5 linked regions of the Macaca fascicularis genome follow. The protein of the gene in region 1 purifies or fractionates together with the protein of each later gene. This does not show direct contact. Links are inferred from orthologs where the notes say so. Each region holds a gene or a part of one and is shown in the gene's direction. Other genes may lie near its edges. The genes, in order: MCM2, MCMBP, histone H2B type 1-B, TONSL and SSRP1.

Region 1 (4,221 bases):
GTCTTCCTGTGCGTTCCCATCTCAGCTATCATTCCCCTAGCTAAACCAGGATCCTGGTGTCATCCTGCATGCCTCTTTTGCTGTACTCAATCACCAACACCAATAGACCCCACCTCCTGGCTGGGCACGGTGGCTCACGCCTGTAATCCCAGCACTTTGGGAGGCCAAGGCAGGCAGATCCACTTGTCAGGAGTTGGAGATCAGCCTAGCTAACAATGGTGAATTCCCATCTCTACCAAAAATACAAAAATTAACCGGGCATTATGGCGTGCATCTGTAATCCCAGCTACTCAGGAGGCTAAGGCATGAGAATCACTTTGGGAGGTGGAGGTTGCAGTGAGCTGAGATTGCGCCACTGCACTCCAGCCTGGGTGACAGAGTAAGACTCTGTCTCAAAAAGAAAAAAAAAAAAAAGAAAGAAAAAGAAAAAGAAAAAAGATCCCACCTCCTAAACATCTTGTATTTCCAGTTCTCTCCATCACTCCTGCCCCTACCCTGGGTCCCATGCAGAGATGCTTATTCACTGCACAAAGTGCCTGGCTAAGAGGGCTGCGATTCAGCCCTGCCTCTGCTCACTAAGGCTGCCTGTAACTAGACAAGAACCACAACAACCTCCTCATTTGCTGCCTTCAACCTTGTTCAATCCACTTCCACCTGGTAGCAGCCGTAGGGATTCTAAAACACACACCGGTTCACGTCTCACCCTGCTCAAAATGCTTTCATGGTCTTCCATTGCCTTCAGAATACAGAATAGTCAAACTCTCTAGAAAAACATCTAACTCTTTTTTGATCCGGATTTTCTCTCCCTCAAGTCTTGTCCATTGCCCGGCATCATAAGCTCCTAGCCTTAGTTCTTAGGCAGGGGCTTGCACATCCGGGCCGTGCCATGCCCTCTGCGGCTTTGCACATGGCATCCTTCTATCTGTAACATTCTCCCTGCGTCTTCGCTCCCCTGGGCAAGGATAACTCCTACTAAAGCCTCAGATGTGACCTACAAAATCCCAGAGTTGTCCAGCTACTTGAAGCATTGAGCCTTTGAGCTTTGGGAGAAGTTAAAACATTCTGCTCCTAAGACAGTAAGAAGGCGTCGGAAAACCAGGCTCTGGACCTCTGTTGCCTTGTCAGTAAAATGGCCCTGGTGTGACCGAGGTCACGTAGCCAGCAAGTGTCGTCGGGGGCCCTGGAACCACAGCTCCTACCTCCACCCCGGCTCCCACTCCAGCTCAGGAGAGCGCACGCGCACAGCGCCCCGCCGCCCACCCTCAGGCTCTGGGCGGGACCTCCGGGCGGCGTGGGCGGGACCCGACTCTTTGGCCCACCCCTCCGTGTCCCCGCTGCTCGCCAGTGGACGCCGACGTCATGACGTCGCGTTCCGTAGGGCTCTTACCCGGCTTTGGTGGGTCACGTGAGCTACTTTTCGCGCGAAACCTGGTTGTTGCTGGAGTGGCTGAGAGGATCGTGGTACTGCGATGGCGGTGAGCGCGCTGGCGCGGGGCGGGCGGGATGGTGCGGGCGCCGGGGTCATGGGTGCGGAGGCTGCGCGCTTCCCGTACTCTTGCCCCGGCCCGGGTCGGCGCTCTGGGTGAGGTGGGGCCTCAGGCTCTGGGGCGCAGCTGCTTTCTCGCCTGCACCCCGCGTGACGCTAGGCCACCTGGCGACTCGTCTCCCCACCACTGACCTGGGGCCCTGGGTTCCCTAAGCCGCGCCCGACCCGCTCAACCCGTGTCCTTTATTCACCGCACACGTGCTTATTGAGCGCCATCTGTATGTCTGGCGCTGAGTGTACAAAAGACAGGCCCCCATCTCACTGCACTTCTTAAAACTTTTTTTTTTTTTCAATTTCCCAATGATCCTTGTTCTGAATGCTACATTTACTTTCGTATTACTTTCTTGTCCCTTTGTCTTGTGTACTGTCTGTTTCACATCTGAGTTCCAGACCTCTTGTTTTGGTGGCTCTTCTATGCCATCTCTATCACAATACCTTGCACACTGTGTGTGCTGAAATAGCTCTAATGCTTAAGGGGGAGATAGTAGACAATAAACAGGTAAATAGGCAAATGACATAACCTCAGTGGTTTTTCATGGAGAAAGCACGGTGATGTGGGTGACCCGCTATTTGAGCTGCCTCCTATTTGTTTGGAAGCCACTGGCTCGGATTGCCCAGCAGAGAGCATTCCAGCTGAGAGAACAGCAAGCGCAAAGATCTGGAGGCTGGAAGGGGATTGGTGTGTTGGAGGACAAGAGTCACAGGTGGAGAGAGAGGAGGGAAGAACCCTGATAGTAAAAAGGAAGCTGTATCATGCCTCACCAGCTTCTTAGGTTTCTGACAGCGGCACTTTCTCTTGCAGGAATCATCGGAGTCCTTCACCATGGCATCCAGCCCGGCCCAGCGTAGGCGAGGCAATGATCCTATCACCTCCAGCCCTGGCCGAAGCTCCCGGCGTACTGATGCCCTGACCTCCAGCCCTGGCCGTGACCTTCCACCCTTTGAGGATGAGTCTGAGGGGCTCCTAGGCACAGAGGGGCCCCTGGAAGAAGAAGAGGATGGAGAGGAGCTCATTGGAGATGGCATGGAAAGGTAATTTCAATCAATGCCCTGGACTCAGCAGACAATTTTGCAGAGAGCCCATTGTGTGTCTGGTGGCCTGGCTTTGGGAGCTGGGAACAAATGAATCTGATGGCATTCTTGCCTTTGAGCACAGGTTGATCCAGGGTTCTGGGGAGACAGGTTTACAGAGCCGTGACATAGGTTTCTTTAACTTACTGTATGTAACTTGGAAAGACTAGACCCTAAGGGTTGGATAAGCCTAACTCCATAAGCACCCCAGGTAATGCAGAGCTCTCTAATCTGGAGGACTGCAACTCAAAAAGACAGGAAGCAGGAAGCCCAGTGTTTCTTGGTAACTTTTCAAAGGAAAGGTGCATGGGGGAGGAGGGATCTGATAAATAAAGTTTTAGAGTCAATCAGCAACCGTTTATTATACGTAATGTGCACCATGCCCTTTGTTAGGAATGGTCTTGTTTATTAGTAAACATGTGTTGGCCGGGCATGGTGGCTCACACCTGTAATCCCAGCACTTTGGGAGGCCGAGGTCGGCGGATCACCTGAAGTCAGGAGTTTGAAACCAGCCTGGTCAACATGGTGAAACCCCGTCTCTACTAAAAATACAAAAAATTAGCCAGGCGTGGTGGTGCATGCCTGTAGTCCCAGCTATTCAGGAGGCTGAGGCAGGAGAATCGCTTGAACCCAGGAGGCGTAGGTTGCCGAGAGCCGAGATCATGCCACTGCACTCCAGCTTGGGCGACAAGAGTGAAACTCAATCTCAAAAATAAATAAATAAATACATAAATAGGTTATCAAGACTTAATGCTAGGAGAGTGGAGTAAGCTCTGCGCATGAGCAAGGCTAGATTTCTACTCCTGCCTTACTCTGCGTTTCCAGCTGGGATCTGGTAGATATGTCAGTAGCGGAGTTGTGTGAATGCCCAGGAGCCTCGTGGAGATGCTCCTTTTGTGCCTTTCCAGCCTTAGCGTGTGTGAGAGTACCGTGCAGGGCGTCCTGCCATCCCTAGGATGTCAGACAGCTGAGGGGCTTTCAAGGGCACTCCAGACTGGATGGATCTTTGCTGTTACCAGTACCACCCCCAACGATGAGACTGCACATGCTGTAGACTGTAGAAGGAATGAGGAGTCTTTGGATAAATCCACCCTGGACTTGGGGTCAGGGCATGGGGCCTGGACGGCTTCCCCATTCTGCTCAGTGGAGTTGTTCAGGCCGGATGCTCCTCCTCCACTGTGTCCTCTCCCTGTCTTGACCCTTTCTCTTTGCTTCTCTTTTCCTTCAGAGAGTGAGAGGCCCTTGGCAGGGGGCTTCTGGGTAGAGGTAGCTGAGGGATAGCTGAGCCCAATTACATTTGTTTTTGTGGTTTTTCAAAAAAATTTTTATTGGGCTATAGTTTTTTAGAGTTTGCCCCTTGCAAAAATACAATTCAATGCAAATTCAGTGTAAATTTCCTGAATTATGCAGGCTTCACCACAATCCAGTGTAAGAACAGGGCCATTGTCCCATTGATGTCCCTCCTGCCTGCTTATAGTTCATTCTCAGTTCTTACCCAACCCACGGGCAACTGAGAATCCACTTACTGTCTCTAGATTTTCCAATCTGGTAATTTCATATAAATTGAATCATATTATATATGCCCTTTTGTGATGAGCTTTTTT
Region 2 (3,511 bases), on another chromosome or scaffold:
GGCAAAAATACCTGATAGTGCAACTTAATCTTAAATGAATCAGAAAAATATAAGAGATGGAGCAGATGATAAGCAAATGGGGCAAGGATACAAGTGTTCTTTCCAACTTTTTTGAATCTAGAATTATTCCCAAATGAAGTTATAAACAAAAAAATTTCAGCTCTTTATTTCAGGATAGTTGTAAAGATAAACAAAAAACTATATAAAATGTATTAAAAGAACAGAGTGCTTTACAAGCAGTGGCTCAAATGCTGCTGAATCTAGGTGGCCTTGCATCACATTCTGTAGGTGTCCCCAGCTACACTGTGGGTGCCAGAGAGCCTGCAGGAGGTCAGCATCCTCCTGATTTGTAACTGTCCCTCCCCCCGCTCAGTACAGCTTCTTGAATGTGTCTTGTGTAGTACTTCAGACACACTGAAGTGTAAAATTCATCCTATCTAAAATTCATTCTATCGTAGAAGCAAATTTTAGTTTGTTTTCTGCTGGCTAAACTATTGTGTGACTCACCTGATCATAGTCTCTTATTATTTATTGCATATACATTAGCTTTGAAAAGTATATTTCTCTTTCAGCACAAAATGGAGTTAATCCTGACTGGGAGAAGAAAGTAATTGAATATTTTAAGGAAAAGCTGAAGGAAAATAATGCTCCTAAGTGGGTAAGCTTATTGCTATTTTCGAGGGAGAAGGTTGGACAGACTACAAAGTTTCTCTTAGTAGAGTAACTAAGTAACCCCCATGTAATTTAAAAATATGTAAATTAATGTGTACTTCTGCTTCAAGTACATTTGTATTAAAAGATTTTGGTCTTTTGCTAATTAAGTTTAAGCAAATAAATACTTATACATTATGCCTCTAGGTGGCAGTAACTGACTGTGTTACTTCCTGAGACACATCTTTAGTTCCAAGAGTCAGTTAGTTACCTTTGTTTTATTACCTTTATTTTAAAAGAATTGGCATGTGCTAGTTTTAAGAGAAGAGCTCAACAAAGTAAATGCCTTTTTGATCATTGAAAAGTGTTCTGAATTAAAAGCATTTTTTAGCATTCTTTTACATTATGGTCAAATGTTATCTAAAACTTGGAAGAAATGGAAGAGAACTTGGGTTCCAGCAATTATGTTGACCATTGAGATCATTTGGCTCCCTGACGAGGCATGGGGGGTGTGTGTGTGTGTGTGTTTAACAATTTTGAGTCTGGACATAAAGTTTGTGTATATATGCTTAATGTTGTATAGACAGGATATTTAGTTGACTTAACTTGATTATTTTCCTTTAAGGTACCATCACTGAACGAAGTTCCCCTTCATTATTTGAAACCTAATAGTTTTGTGAAATTTCGTTGCATGATTCAGGATATGTTTGACCCTGAGTTTTACATGGGAGTTTATGAAACGGTTAACCAAAACACAAAAGCACATGTAAGTATTGCTGTTTTCATGAATTTGTGGTATTAATTTTGTCCTTGTACTGTTTGTGGTAGTTTTGGTTCTGATATATTGATATAATTCTGTTTTTCTATGTTTTGGGTCATAGGTTCTTCATTTTGGAAAATATAGAGATGTAGCAGAGTGTGGGGTATGTATCTTTAATATATATAAAACATTTTTAGTAAGAATTTTTTCCTAAACAGAGAATTTGTTTGTTTAGCTAATCTTAGATTTATTTATCTTGAGTATAAGTTACAAGAAATCACGTGAAATGTTTTCCTTGTTTGACTTTATTTAGGAGTTTGATGTGACTGTTTTTAATCCTCCAGAGATCTTTTAGAAGGAGAAGTACTGTTAATGCCAAAATTAATTCCTCTCTCCAATATCTGTATATAATATATGTAAAACAAAGTACCCTAGGGTGCAAAATTAAGTCGTTTTTAATTCCTTCAAAGACAAAGCCAGTGGTAATTCCACTGTTTCTTTCATAGAAAACTGTCAGAATCAGCCTATAATACAGAAATCTGATGAAATACTCATTCCTAGGTAGCTCCAAGATGAGATTCAAAAGTCATATATTATTCCCTAGGAAAGGCATATTCTCTTTCATATATACTTAGAAAACTCTAAGAAGTGGAAAGGACCCAAGAGACATCAAGTTTGAGCCTAATACATACAAGCAAGGATTTTTTGTTTGCTTTTCTCTCTAGGCCCAAAGTACCTTTTTCCTAGAATGAGTCTTTTATTTATGACTCTTGAGCAACATATGTACCAACTCTCTATTAGCCTTTGGTAGTGTCACACATGCACAGCCTCATTTATTTTATTGACCCATTTCCAGATTCTGGGATTACTGAGTTACATTAATACTCAGCTTTTTCTAGTATACAGTAATGTAATATGTTAGCCTAATGTGTTAGGGCTCCTTAAATGAGGAATACCGTAATCATTAATGTAGTTGATCCATTAAGCTGGGCACAGTATTTGTTTTATGGAAACACTCTAAAAGAAAAACAGACCTGAAGTTCATCATGTGTAAGATTACATAAATCTGTCTTTCAAATGAGTTCTTTACTCTAATTGTCAGAAGTTACATTTTTGTTTAATATAATCTTTGCAGTAACCTTCCAAATTAGGGCAGTTTTTCTGTCCAGATCTGCCTACTGAACTAGAATATTTAATTAGCAACAACTGTTGTGAATTAACAGACTGATATTGGGGTTTGATAAATCAGTTTCCTAAGGTTTGGGTAAGCCAAGAGTTAGACTCCAAGAATATAAAAAGGCCTAGATAACCTCATAAAAGTAAGGTTCTAGATCCACAAAGCAGAGAACTAGACCCAGATTATAAGTCACTCCACAGAGGTCCCATTTTTCTGGATTTGAGGGAGGAAGTGTTTGATGACTGTATTTGAAGTGATTTTATATCAGTTTTCTTTGAAAAAGTGATAGTTTGGAATTAGTTACTTGTTAACTCTGTAAAATATTTGTTGTGGTGCTATGTGAAAATGTGGTTGCTAATTTTAAAATAAATTTTGTGATGTTTTTAAATAAATTTTTTAAAATACTTTTTTATGTATATCACAGCCTCAACAAGAACTTGATTTAAACTCTCCACGAAATACCACTTTGGAAAGACAGACTTTCTATTGTGTTCCGGTGCCTGGGGAATCTACGTGGGTAAAAGAAATATCCTTTATCTGAACTTTCTTATTGTGTTGATGGTTTCTAAAACCTTAACCTTTAATTATTCATCCTTTGCAAAGCTTGGCTTTATTTCAATAAAATGTGTTTCATTTGTTCTAATTGAGAAAACCCATAAAACAGGCTAAGTATTTGTCACCGAGGAATGCTAAAATTACAGTACATTTCTATAGTGAAATACTGTTAAAAAGATTGAGGTAATTTTTTTTTTTTTTTTTTGAGATAGGGACTTACTGTCACCCAGGCTGGAGTGCAGTGGCACAAACATGGCTCACTGCTGCTTCAACCTCCTGGGTTCAAGCAATCCTCCTGCCTTAGCCTCCCAAGTAGCTGGGACCACAAGCGTGTGCCACCATCCCTGGCGAATTTTTTGATTTCTTTT
Region 3 (4,308 bases), on another chromosome or scaffold:
CCGCCCATCATGTCCTTTTTGTTTGTTATCTGCAGGGATAAATTGTCTAAAATTCTAGTTCATCCAGTCCCAAAGAACAAGGTACATAACAAAGCATCTACGGATTTTTTTAATGTAAATTCCGATTCAGTAAGTTTGCGTGGGACTTGAAATTCTGCATTCCTGACAGTCTTGAAAGTTATCAGTGCTGGTGAACACTCACTAAACCACCAGAAACGTTGACTGCCTCATGTCGGAAACTACTTACATTCAGAGAATGAGAATTCCATGCTATTTTGTTACTGGTCAACAGCCAGTTTCCTTATCCTTCGTTTTCTAAGTCCAAGTCACATTCCCACCCTGACTGTTCTCAAACTGTCTTATTTTGGTTGGCTTTAGTTTCACTTTGTATACTCTAAAATGTAGTTTCTTAAAGAAGATATTTCCTCGAAACTTAATTTTTAAACACCATTAGGCTAGGGGGGCCGTGGCTCACGCCTGTAATCCCAGCATTTTGGGAGGGCAAGATGGGAGGATCACTTGAGGCCAGGAGTTCAAGACAACCCTAGCTAAAATGGTGAAAACCCCGTCTCGAATAAAAATACAAAAATTGGCTAGGCGTGGTAGCAGACGCCTGTAATCCCAGGTACAAAGGAGGCTGAGGCATGAGAACCTGGTGAAGCCGCGGGGTGGAGGTTGCAGTGAGCCGATATCGCGCGGCGGCATTCCAGCTTGGGTGACAGAGCGAAACTCTGTCTCAAACCAATCCAAACCAAAACCAAAAGGTACCCGAAACACAAGCAAGTTACCATCCTTTCTTGTGAAACAATGGACGGTTCTGAAAAATGCCGTAGCAAGTTTAAGGTACGTTTTCTGGCTTGAGTGGGCTTTACTTGCTTTTGGCCTTATCGTGGTTCTCGGTTATTTTTGCAACAGGACGGCCTGAATATTGGCCAGGACGCCTCCCTGAGTAATAGTGACTTTGCCCAGCAGCTTGTTGAGCTGCTCGTCGTTGCGGAAGGCCAGCTGCAAGTGGCGGGGGATGCTATGGGTCTTGTCACGTATGGCGCTGCGTGTCAGCTCCAGGATATCGGCGGCCAGGTATTCTAAGTACAGCGGCGCGCCGGCTTCGACAGGCTCAGAATAATTGCCCTTTCGAAAAAGACGATGGACCCTGCGCTACTAGAAACTGCAAGGCTGGTACCGATGAACAACTTTGTGCTTTACTTCCGTTTTCCATGTCCAAACACAGCGACCTCTGAAAACTGTAAAAAACAAGCAAGATGGAATGGCGCCTGAAGAAATACTTTTATACAAACTGCAAGGCTGCAATAGAGAGTTATCCTATTGGTCAATTATGTTTCCTGCTTTATCCAATAGAAAAAGAGTCCATAAATTCCATATTTGCATAAACCCCACCCCTCAGTGAAACTGTATTTCTTTTATCCAATCAGAAGTGAGGAATCTTAAACCGTCATTTGAATCTCAGGACTATAAATACGTGGGCTCTGAACTGTTCTCTCTACTACTCTGCTGGAGAGTGTTAGTAGCTTTTTTGTTTTGTTTTAGGAATAGCGATGCCTGAACCCTCTAAGTCTGCTCCTGCCCCTAAAAAGGGCTCTAAGAAGGCCATCACTAAGGCGCAGAAGAAGGATGGTAAGAAGCGTAAGCGCAGCCGAAAGGAGAGCTATTCCATCTATGTGTACAAGGTTCTGAAGCAGGTCCACCCCGACACCGGCATCTCCTCCAAGGCCATGGGGATCATGAACTCCTTTGTCAATGACATCTTCGAGCGCATCGCGGGCGAAGCTTCCCGCCTGGCGCACTACAACAAGCGCTCGACCATCACCTCCAGGGAGATCCAGACGGCTGTGCGCCTGCTGCTGCCCGGGGAACTGGCTAAGCATGCTGTGTCCGAGGGCACCAAGGCTGTTACCAAGTACACTAGCTCCAAGTAAGTGCTTATGTAAGCACCTCCAAACCCAAAGGCTCTTTTCAGAGCCACCTACTTTGTCGCAAAGAGAGCTATAACCACAATTTCTTAAGGTGGTGCTGCCTCTGTTCTGCTTCAGTTCTAGAGGATCAACTAGAATGTTAGCGAAGGCAACTTTTAGAGCCAAGGTTAACTTGGGGCAGCGCGCCGTGGCTGTCGCCTTTAATCCCAGCATTTTGGGAGGCCGAGGCGGGCGGATCACTTGACGTCAGGAGTTCGAGACTAGCCCGGCCAACATGGTCTCTATTAAAAATACAAACGTTAGGAGGGTGCTGGCGCTCTTTCTCATCTGCCTTTAGCAAACTTCTTTGTTCCCCCTGGGTAAGCCTTCGGGTACTAGTTGTAATTCATTTGATATGGTCACTACTCCCTCCCTGGTCTAGCACAGGAAACTTTCCTTTCTGGATAATGAAACAAGTAATGCAATTCAGGGTACAGTGTTTCTATGGGGGTCATTAGCCGTTAACCGCTTGAGATGAGGGGGAGGGGAGCAGAAAAGTCTAAGCGACAAAAGGGCGTGTAGGGATATTTGCTCCTGCAGTTTGCCTATGCTGTAAATTCTTACCTCCAGTAAGAAGGAAAGATTTCCTCCAGTATTGAGGAAACAGTAAGCGAAGTCTGATTTCCCGGGCGCCTTTGTAGGGAATATTTCCCGTTCCACAAAATGAAATCGCAGTAGTTTTGCGTTATAATTGTTTATCAATGACAACAGCTATGTAGTTTACATATTTCATGCATCCCAGAAATCCAGATTCCCATTTCCTAGGCCACTTAAAATTCGGATTTCCAGCTCTGCGAGATACAAAAGGGTTTGAATTTTGTGCCTTTCCCCAACTGGCCCTACTGCAAAGATACTAGGAAGGCCCCACTTGGAGAGGGAAGCATTTTTCAAGAAATCCGGGACGCCAAAAACAATATAGCTAGAAAAAGGCAGGAAGGGTACTAGTTGAGGAGGACTTAATGGGCCAATTCTTGGTCTGGGGCTGGGGGAAGAAATGGAAGAAGAAAAGAACCTGTTGATTGCACACTAAGTAGGAGGGGATGGGGGAATCGGAGGGGAGTATTTTAAGTGAACTTACGGGCATTATATGTAGGTGACATTCAGCAGTGTCTTCGGATGAAGAAATAAAGTTTCTCAAACAGTTATTGTTTCTGTTTTGAGAAATGGTCTTGCTCTGTTGGCCAGGTGCCATCATAGCTCACTGCAGCCTCGACTTCTCCAGCTCAAGCTATCCTCTAACTTCAGCCCCTTGAGTACCTGGGACTACAGAAATGCGCCACCACACCCAGTTAATTTTTTAATTTTTTGTGGAGGCAAAGGGTCTTACTATCTTGCCCAGGCTGGTCAAGTGAACTCCTGGGCTCAAGTGATCCTCCCGCCTTGGCCTCCCAAAGTGCTGAGATCGTAGGAATGAGTCACCGCGCCCGGCCCAGATTTAATTTTTAAGAATATTTTAAAAGAGGTTCTGGGCCGGGTGTGGTGCAGCTCACGCCTGTAATACCAGCACTTTGGGAGGCCAAGGTGGGAGGATCACTTGAGCCTAGGAGCTCAAGACCAGTCTGGGCAACTTAGTGAGTCTGTCTCCACCAAAAATTTAAAAATTAACCAGGCCTGGTGGCACATTTCTGTAGTCCCAACTACTGGGGAGGTTGAAGTGGGAGGATCATTTGAGCCTGGAAGGTGGAGGTTGCAGTAAGCTGTGATGACACCACTGCACTCCAGCCTGGGTGAGGACAGACCCTGTCTCAAAAATAAAAAAAAAATCTGGATGCCACACAAAATGTCAGTGAACAACTGTAAGTGAAGCACTTCCCATCCTAGTACTGTATATGCAAACTACCGTTGTGAAAGAGACGCTTGTGTTTTAAAAAATCTATAATTTTTTTTAAAATTATAAAACGACCACCTCCCCCAAAACATTACTAAGCAATTGAGGCTGCAGTTTAAGAAACTGATATTTAGGATCTTTCCCCGGAGAAGTGAGACCTGCTAATATAAGCATTTGCAAAATGAACTTTTGGGCCAGGTGCATCATGCCTGTAATCTCAGCACTTTGGGAGACTTAGTCAGGCAGACCACTTGAGCTCACAATTCGAGACCAGCCTGGGCAACATGGCGAAATCCAGTCTCTACAAAAAATTAGCTGGGCGTTGTGGCATATGCCTATAGTTCCAGTTACTAGAGAGGCTGAGGTGGGAGGATTACTTGAGCCTGGGAGGTAGAGGTTGCAGCAAGCCAAGATCGCGCCGTGACAACCTGAGTGACAGAATGAGACACACCCCCCCAAAAAAACAGCCTGACTCATTAAAAAAAAAATTTAAAAATATTAAGTTTT
Region 4 (4,238 bases), on another chromosome or scaffold:
CAGTCGTTTTCTCTCTCTCTTCCTTTTTTTTGAGATGGAGTCTTACTCTGCCGCCCAGGGTGGAGTGCAGTGGTGCGATCTCGGCTCACTGCAAGCTCCGCCTCCCAGGTTCACACCATTCTCCTGCCTCAGCCTCCCGAGTGGCTGGGACTACAGGCACCCGCCACCATGCCCGGCTAATTTTTTGTATTTTTTGTAGAGACAGGGTTTCACCGTGTTAGCCACGATGGTCTCGATCTTCTGACCTCGTGATCCGCCCGCCTTGGCCTCCCAAAGTGTTGGGATTACAGGCGTGAGCCCAGGAAGAGTGCGCCTGGCCCTCTCTTCCTCTTTCTTTTCCTCCCTCCCTCCTTTCTTTTTTTTAAATAAAAATGGGGTATCAGGCCGGACGTGCTGGCTTATGCCTATAATACCAGCACTTTGGGAGGCCGAGGTAGGCGGATCACGAGGTCAGGAGTTTGAAACCAGCCTGGCCAGCATGGTGAAACCCCGTTTCTACTAAAAATGCAAAAATTAGCCGGGCATGCTGGCACATGCCTGTAGTCCCAGCTACTTGGAAGGCTGAGGCAGGAGAATCGCTTGAACTCAGGAGGAGGAGGTTGTGGTGAGCTGATATCGCACCATTGCACGCCAGCCTGGGCGACACAGCGAGACTCACACACAAACACGCACACACACAAAAAGATGGGGGTCTCACTATGTTGCCCAGGCTGGTCTCGAACTGCTAGGCTCAAGCGATCCTCCTGACTGCACCTCCCAAGGCGCCTGGATTACAGTGCGGGCCAGTGCGCCCGGGCTACTTCTGCAGCTTAAGCGCAGGTTCACTGACTCTTCCGAGAATACAGCTGACATATACGTTGCTGAAACGGTACTTGTTTACTACGGAAAGCACATTCCCCTACCAGAACATTCCTTGGGGCCGAGTCCCCAAATGTGACCCACTGCGTTCTGTGGAGGAGGAGCGCACCTTATTCCGTCCCCACAGCCAAATGCTCGTGAACTTATCGTCAGTCTTCTATCTGGACCCTACGTGCGTTTTTCACAGTTGCGCGTGTGAGCAGGTTGTGTGTGAATTTCAGGAGGAACTGGGGCGGCGGCACAGCTCGTCCACCTTGAGAGGCGCGGGCGGCACGCGGGCTGCAGTTCAGAAGAGCCCACCCAGGGCGCGCTGCGACCCCGGCCTCCCGTGTCCCCGCCTCCTGCGAGGAGGAACGGGGTCCCCATCAGGCACTCCCCGGGCAGGGCAGAGGGCTCCACGCGCGGGCCAACCTCGGCGTCCGGGAAGATAACTCCTCGGGTCGACGCCCTAGTTGTCGCCGCGTCCCCGCCCCAGCTCCTCCCACACTAGAACTTCGAGGATGTCGCGGGCGGACCGTACTTCCCAGCATGCCCCGCGCCCACCGCCGCCGTCGAGGGGCGGGGCCTGCGTGTCGGCGGCGAGGGGCGGGGCCGCGGCGCAGCGCGGGAAGTCCAGATCCCGCGGCGACCCGAGCATGAGCCTGGATCGCGAGCTTCGCCGTGAGTCCCTCGGGGGCCCCTTGCGCCGGGGGCACGGAGGCTAGGGAGGGTCTGGGACTCGGCCCCGGCCCCGAATCCCGCCGCGGAGGCTCAGCTCTCCTCTTCCTCCGACAGAGCTGAGCAAGGCGAAGGCCAAGGCGCAGAGGGCCGGGCAGCGGCGCGAGGAGGCAGCGCTGTGCCACCAGCTGGGGGAGCTCCTGGCCGGCCATGGTGAGCGCTGGGACCAGGAAGCGGGGTGCACGGCCGGGGGCTGGGGGCTGGGGGCTGGGGCCCGCGCCGGGGTCGGGGGCCGGGGGTCGACGGGCTCTTCCCGCAGACGCCGCCCCAGGTCCGCCCTCGCACCCGCGACGCCTGCCAGGCCGTGCTGTGTCCCCGCCTAGGCCGCTACGCCGAAGCCCTGGAGCAGCACTGGCAGGAGCTGCGGCTCCGGGAGAGCGCTGACGACCCCCTGGGCTGTGCCGTGGCCCACCGCAAGATCGGAGAGCGCCTGGCCGAGATGGAGGACTACCCGACTGCCTTGCAGGTGCGGGCGCCCTCACTGGCCTCGCCCAGCCCGGTCGGCCTCTGTTTGGAGCCCTTTTCTGAGGAGGGAGGCCCGGTCTTCACCGTCAGGAGCCTCGGGCTGGAAGGGACACCTGGCCTGACGCAGCCTTAACTTCACCGCGCCGGCCCAGTCCTCCAGTGGGGACCCCCCAGCCTTTCCTGGGACTGGGGCAGGAGTAGGTTTCCTGGCACCAGAAACCATTAATGAATGTTATTTTAGCTGTGTTTGTGTTGGGGGTGGTCAGGCCCCAGCCCGAAAGCTCTCCCTGACCCTGGCTGCTGGAGGCAGGACTGCAAACCCCCACCCCACCAATCCCCAGCCGCCCCTCCCCACGTGACAGCGTTGGCTGCATACAGCGTGAAGCCACTGTCACCACAGAGAGGCCTTGGCATGCAGAGGAGGGGCATGTGGCCGACCTTGGCCTGCTCTGTGGGGGTTAAGGGGAGCAGGAGTCTTTCCTTAGCAAGAACAGGGTCTCTGGGAATCTGGCAGCGCTGGTTTGCTTGAGGCGGGGTCAGCTCACAGCAGTGACTTCCTTCCACACTCAGCACCAGCACCACTACCTGGAGCTAGCACATTCCCTGCGCAACCACACGGAGCTGCAGAGGGCCTGGGCCACCATCGGCCGCACCCACCTGGACATCTATGACCACTGCCAGTCGAGGGATGCTCTGCTGCAGGCACAGGCTGCCTTTGAGAAGAGCTTGGCTATTGTGGATGAGGAGCTGGAGGGTGGGCAGGCCCCTTCTCGTTTTCTGCCTCCTGAACTGCAGGCTGAAGAGGCTGCAGCCCAGCACCCCCGCAGCCTCCTTGGGCGATCTCGTCTTCTGGGGCCCTCCCTTTGCAGGGCTCTTGTGTGAGGGGTGCATGCCCTCCGCAACCTTTTCCCTGGAGATCCTCGGCTCTTTATCCACTCTGTGCTCTGTCTGCAGCAGGACCCTTGCCCCAACATCGGGAGGAGGGAGAGGGTAGGAGAGGCACTGCACAGGCCCCAAATGGGGCCCAAAGCTGGAAACCCCATGTGGGGAGAAAGTGGCTGAGTGGGGGGCATCTTCCAGGGACACTGGCTCAGGGAGAGCTGAATGAGATGAGGACCCGCCTCTACCTCAACCTGGGTCTTACCTTTGAGAGCCTGCAGCAGACAGCCCTGTGCAACGATTACTTCAGGAAGAGCATCTTCCTTGCGGAGTAAGGCCCCACCCCACCCCAGGAGAGAGTGGAGTCCCTTGTTCCTGGAGGAAGTAGTTAGGGGAGTATTTCTCCCAGGGTCCTCCTGAGAGAGCACCCTGGCTGGGCCTCATCCCCCACCTCTCACACCTGTGCCTCACACTGGGCGAAGACCAGGCATGGTTAGGGCCCTGAGACCATAGCATGGCAGGGCTGGGGCCTGTGTGGCATCAGCAGCTATCACCGGTGGGACGCTCCTGGGTGCTCAGGAGCTCGTAGGTGCTCAGGCCATCACCCCTCTGCAGGCAGAACCACCTTTACGAGGACCTGTTCCGCGCCCGCTACAACCTGGGCACCGTCCACTGGCGCGCGGGCCAGCACTCCCAGGCTATGCGCTGCTTGGAGGGTGCCCGGGAGTGTGCGCACACCATGAGGAAGCGGTTCATGGAGAGCGAGTGCTGCGTGGCCATCGCACAGGTACCCGCTGTGTGTGGTTCCGAGCTCAGGCTCCTGGAGACTTGGGCCTTGGGGATTTTGCAAAAACCGTGCTGTCCTTTGCTCTCCAGGTCCTCCAAGACCTGGGAGACTTTCTGGCTGCCAAGCGAGCCCTGAAGAAGGCCTACAGGCTGGGCTCCCAGAAGCCTGTGCAGAGAGCAGCCGTCTGTCAGAACCTCCAGCATGGTGAGCCTGGGGCTGAGGTGGGGCCCCGGGGGTGTGGGGTGGGGGGGGGGTGAGGGGGGTGAACCTCCCGCATGGTGAGCCTGGGGCCGGGGTGGGGCCCCGGGAGTTGTGTGCAGGGGCGAGCCCAGGGGGGCGTGGAGTCCTGCCAGGTGTGTACGGAGCTCCCTCCCTCACAGAGGAGGCATGAGCACCTGTCCTTGGAGGCAGCAGCTTCCGCAAGAGGGACAGGTGCCCTAGTTCCTGACAGGAGAAAACCCCCGTTTTTCTCTGAGCTCAACACAGTGTGTCAGGGGCACTGAAAGGGCGGCCAGGAGACCAGTTGGGCTTT
Region 5 (3,511 bases), on another chromosome or scaffold:
AAGGGGAGGAGCTTGTGGCTTGACAAGCCCTTTCCTCACAGGGCAGCTGCTTTCCTTTGACATTGGTGACCAGCCAGTCTTTGAGATACCCCTCAGCAATGTGTCCCAGTGCACCACTGGCAAGAATGAGGTGACACTGGAATTCCACCAAAACGATGACGCAGAGGTGTCTCTCATGGAGGTCCGCTTTTATGTCCCTCCCACCCAGGAGGATGGTGTGGACCCTGTTGAGGTGAGGCGTCCCCTGGTTGCCTTGGCAGCAGATGGTGCTGAGCAGGCATTGGCTGGCCTGGGAGCAGGGCCTGCTGCTTGGTTACCAATGTGTGCTTTTTGCAGGCCTTTGCCCAGAATGTGTTGTCGAAGGCGGATGTAATCCAGGCCACGGGAGATGCCATCTGCATCTTCCGGGAGCTGCAGTGTCTGACTCCTCGAGGGCGTTACGACATTCGGATCTACCCCACCTTTCTGCACCTGCATGGCAAGACCTTTGACTACAAGATCCCCTATACCACAGTGCTGCGTCTGTTTTTGTTACCCCACAAGGACCAGCGACAGATGTTCTTTGTGGTAAGCCGAAACCCCTATGGCCGGATAATCGTGGTTTTTGCGTGTTAAGTAGACGGACCTCACTGGTGTGCAGAATTCTATGTTAGTGAATCGCAAGTTGTTGTAGAGTATCAATTGGTGCTCTTCCTTACTAGATCAGCCTGGACCCCCCAATCAAGCAAGGCCAAACTCGCTACCACTTCCTGATCCTCCTCTTCTCCAAGGACGAGGACATTTCGTTGACTCTGAACATGAACGAGTGAGTGTCTCCCTGGACTCGTTTCCTGCCACTGTCCAGGCCGGAGACAGGTGTGCCATTAGAAGGCAGTAGTGTTGTGACCTCACCTTGCTGTCTTTGTAGGGAAGAAGTGGAGAAGCGCTTCGAGGGTCGTCTCACCAAGAACATGTCAGGATCCCTCTATGAGATGGTCAGCCGGGTCATGAAAGCGCTGGTGAACCGCAAGATCACAGTGCCAGGCAACTTCCAAGGGTGAGCGTGTGGGCCTGGGATCCTGCCCTGCCTGGGTATGGGAAATGCTGTGTCTCCTTGGTAAACCCCTCCTGAGATGGGATTGCAGCCTGTTACAGGTCTGGATGGGACCTTGTGTCACAACAGGTGTCAGCGCCTCTGTCAGAACAGCTCAGTGAGGTTTACTTAGTCGAGGACATGAGCACACATGTCGCTGCTGCTAGATGTGCCCTTTGCTTCTGCTGAGGTTGGCACTAACCAGGCTCCCTGCACCCTCTGTCAGGCACTCAGGGGCCCAGTGCATTACCTGTTCCTACAAGGCGAGCTCAGGACTGCTCTACCCGCTGGAGCGGGGCTTCATCTACGTCCACAAGCCACCTGTACACATCCGCTTCGACGAGATCTCCTTTGTCAACTTTGCTCGTGGTACCACTACAACTCGTTCCTTTGACTTTGAAATTGAGACCAAGCAGGGCACTCAGTATACCTTCAGCAGCATTGAGAGGTGAGAACCTCCACCCGTCACTTTCTGGGCATCCTGGTCCTGAGCCAGCTTTGTCCAGGAAACCCAGCATGGCCTGCGGCACTCTCCAACCCTAGAGCAGAATTTTTCTTCTGCTACATCAGGATTTGGTCATTTTCCCTGGAGTGCTCAGACTTTAGAAATCTCTCCATTGCTTTCTTTCTGGTCATTTAAAAAAAACAACGAAAAACTTTTTCTGTATTCTGAAAGCTATGTCTTCACTACTGACCTTTTTTCTCCTCCACTCCCCACAATGGAAATGCTATTTCTTTCCTGGAATGAGTTTTGTGCCTGAGAACATAGCAGCTAATGCTTATTTAGTGCTCACTGTGAGCTAAATGTTTTATAAGCATTTTCACGTGTAATCCTCATATCAACCTTGTGAAGTATGAAGACAGATGACCACACCCCCTGCCCCACACTTACTCCGCCCTGAGCTTATTTGGTAAACAGATGCGCACCCCTCCCTGCCTTTTCTTTCCCAGAGCTCTTCACAGCCATGCAGGTTCCTCTTTCAGGACTAATGTCAGGCTCTGGCTCTGCCTTACTGCTGTCCTCTGGGGGTCTCTAAGCTGTTGGGTTGGGTGGCATGGTCAGGAACTCCAGGCTCCACAGTCTACCCCAGCTCATGGAATCAGAACGTTGTTTAGTCCGCCCCTGTGTCAGCACTACCTCTCTGGTAACATGGTGCATGTCCCCTCACAGGGAGGAGTATGGGAAACTGTTTGATTTTGTCAATGCGAAAAAACTCAACATCAAAAACCGAGGATTGAAAGAGGTACTTCTGTGTGGGGAGCATGAGACCCTCTCCTGGTCTTTCTGTAGGGGAGAAAGGGGTGGAGATTTTTTCCGGCTTCTTTTTCACTCTTTCTTCTCTTCTTACCCTTATAGAAAAAAGAGGTGCGTGTGACCCTTTCCCCCTCCTGGTGCAGGTTTCCTCTGCATGACCTTAGACCAGTCTATGCAGCCCCTCAGGAGCCCCCAGTGGGGCTGGGAGAGGGAGGGGCTTGGGGCTTGGACTAACCCAGTTGGCAGGAAGTACTTGGGCGTAGGCCCTGCACGTTGGCTGTGTGTGGACAATCCAGCCCCAGGTCCTCTGGGAGCTGCTGCTCTGACTTGACAGGCATGGGGGTGTGCTTTTGAGTGTGCAGGGATTCTGGCTCGAGGGTGAGTTGGCCCCACTGTGAACTCTTCCCTGGCTAGGGCATGAACCCAAGCTACGACGAATATGCCGACTCTGATGAGGACCAGCATGATGCCTACTTGGAGAGGATGAAGGAGGAAGGCAAGATCCGGGAGGAGAATGCCAATGACAGCAGCGATGACTCGGGAGAAGAAACCGGTGGGTTAGCCTCCGTGCTGAGCACGAGGATGGTCAGATGTTCCTTGCTGTGGCCCGGGCTGGACTCACCCTTAGGCCAGAGCTGGGTGCCTGGGTGAGGGGGTGGGGATTTCCATTGGGGCAGAAGCTGATGCGTCCTGTGCCCTTTTTCAGATGAGTCATTCAACCCAGGTGAAGAGGAGGAAGATGTGGCAGAGGAGTGAGTTTTGGTGGTACCTTGTGGGGATAAGATGGTGACCCATAAGCTTAAAGGACCAGAAGATTTCTGGACATTTCTCATGTCCCAGCATTAGCTACTGACCCGGAATGGGAGAGTGACCTCCAATGAGGTGATACACAAAATGTTTTGGAAATTGTCAAGGGCTTCGTAAGTGCAAGGCACATTTTGAAGTCAGAAAAGTATAGTGGGGTCTATGGCCATACCACCCTGAATATGCCAGTTGGGGCTGGTTCGTAGTTGGATGAGGAGAGAATGGGAATGAGAGCTGGTACTTGTCACTTATTTCCTGGAGGTTGTCGATTAAGTCATTGAATCTCAATTTCCTCATCGGTAGAAATGCAGTAGTACCGACTTTTTATTAGCAGTGTCAGAAATGTGACTCACTCTCACTTTAAAAGGAAATATATAAAA

What was found.
Region 2: the proteins of MCM2 (region 1) and MCMBP purify together in Homo sapiens (co-immunoprecipitation; 6 studies listed by BioGRID and IntAct, with this or other methods). This does not show direct contact. The link is inferred for Macaca fascicularis from reciprocal best matches to the Homo sapiens genes MCM2 and MCMBP.
Region 3: the proteins of MCM2 (region 1) and histone H2B type 1-B purify together in Homo sapiens (affinity purification with mass spectrometry; 3 studies listed by BioGRID). This does not show direct contact. The link is inferred for Macaca fascicularis from reciprocal best matches to the Homo sapiens genes MCM2 and H2BC3.
Region 4: the proteins of MCM2 (region 1) and TONSL purify together in Homo sapiens (affinity purification with mass spectrometry; 4 studies listed by BioGRID and IntAct, with this or other methods). This does not show direct contact. The link is inferred for Macaca fascicularis from reciprocal best matches to the Homo sapiens genes MCM2 and TONSL.
Region 5: the proteins of MCM2 (region 1) and SSRP1 purify together in Homo sapiens (affinity purification with mass spectrometry; 6 studies listed by BioGRID and IntAct, counting the BioPlex papers as one, with this or other methods). This does not show direct contact. The link is inferred for Macaca fascicularis from reciprocal best matches to the Homo sapiens genes MCM2 and SSRP1.

What each region holds. Positions count from the first base shown.
Region 1 is NC_088376.1:155,842,206-155,846,426, reverse strand, and holds the start of MCM2 (DNA replication licensing factor MCM2), read left to right. Parts: upstream 1-1,412; 5' UTR 1,413-1,469; coding exon 1,470-1,475; intron 1,476-2,348; coding exon 2,349-2,578; intron 2,579-4,221. UniProt on the Homo sapiens protein: Acts as a component of the MCM2-7 complex (MCM complex) which is the replicative helicase essential for 'once per cell cycle' DNA replication initiation and elongation in eukaryotic cells.
Region 2 is NC_088383.1:128,875,290-128,878,800, reverse strand, and holds part of MCMBP (mini-chromosome maintenance complex-binding protein), read left to right. Parts: intron 1-572; coding exon 573-658; intron 659-1,276; coding exon 1,277-1,417; intron 1,418-1,532; coding exon 1,533-1,574; intron 1,575-3,012; coding exon 3,013-3,114; intron 3,115-3,511. UniProt on the Homo sapiens protein: Associated component of the MCM complex that acts as a regulator of DNA replication.
Region 3 is NC_088378.1:146,884,604-146,888,911, forward strand, and holds the start of histone H2B type 1-B, read left to right. Parts: upstream 1-1,503; 5' UTR 1,504-1,556; coding exon 1,557-1,933; intron 1,934-4,308. UniProt on the Homo sapiens protein: Core component of nucleosome. Nucleosomes wrap and compact DNA into chromatin, limiting DNA accessibility to the cellular machineries which require DNA as a template.
Region 4 is NC_088382.1:154,152,298-154,156,535, reverse strand, and holds the start of TONSL (tonsoku-like protein), read left to right. Parts: upstream 1-1,435; 5' UTR 1,436-1,493; coding exon 1,494-1,518; intron 1,519-1,632; coding exon 1,633-1,728; intron 1,729-1,834; coding exon of another isoform or gene 1,835-1,898; coding exon 1,899-2,041; intron 2,042-2,610; coding exon 2,611-2,794; intron 2,795-3,120; coding exon 3,121-3,250; intron 3,251-3,534; coding exon 3,535-3,706; intron 3,707-3,795; coding exon 3,796-3,910; intron 3,911-4,238. UniProt on the Homo sapiens protein: Component of the MMS22L-TONSL complex, a complex that promotes homologous recombination-mediated repair of double-strand breaks (DSBs) at stalled or collapsed replication forks.
Region 5 is NC_088388.1:16,285,513-16,289,023, forward strand, and holds part of SSRP1 (FACT complex subunit SSRP1), read left to right. Parts: intron 1-41; coding exon 42-232; intron 233-336; coding exon 337-567; intron 568-701; coding exon 702-805; intron 806-907; coding exon 908-1,036; intron 1,037-1,298; coding exon 1,299-1,520; intron 1,521-2,243; coding exon 2,244-2,316; intron 2,317-2,741; coding exon 2,742-2,880; intron 2,881-3,033; coding exon 3,034-3,079; intron 3,080-3,511. UniProt on the Homo sapiens protein: Component of the FACT complex, a general chromatin factor that acts to reorganize nucleosomes. The FACT complex is involved in multiple processes that require DNA as a template such as mRNA elongation, DNA replication and DNA repair.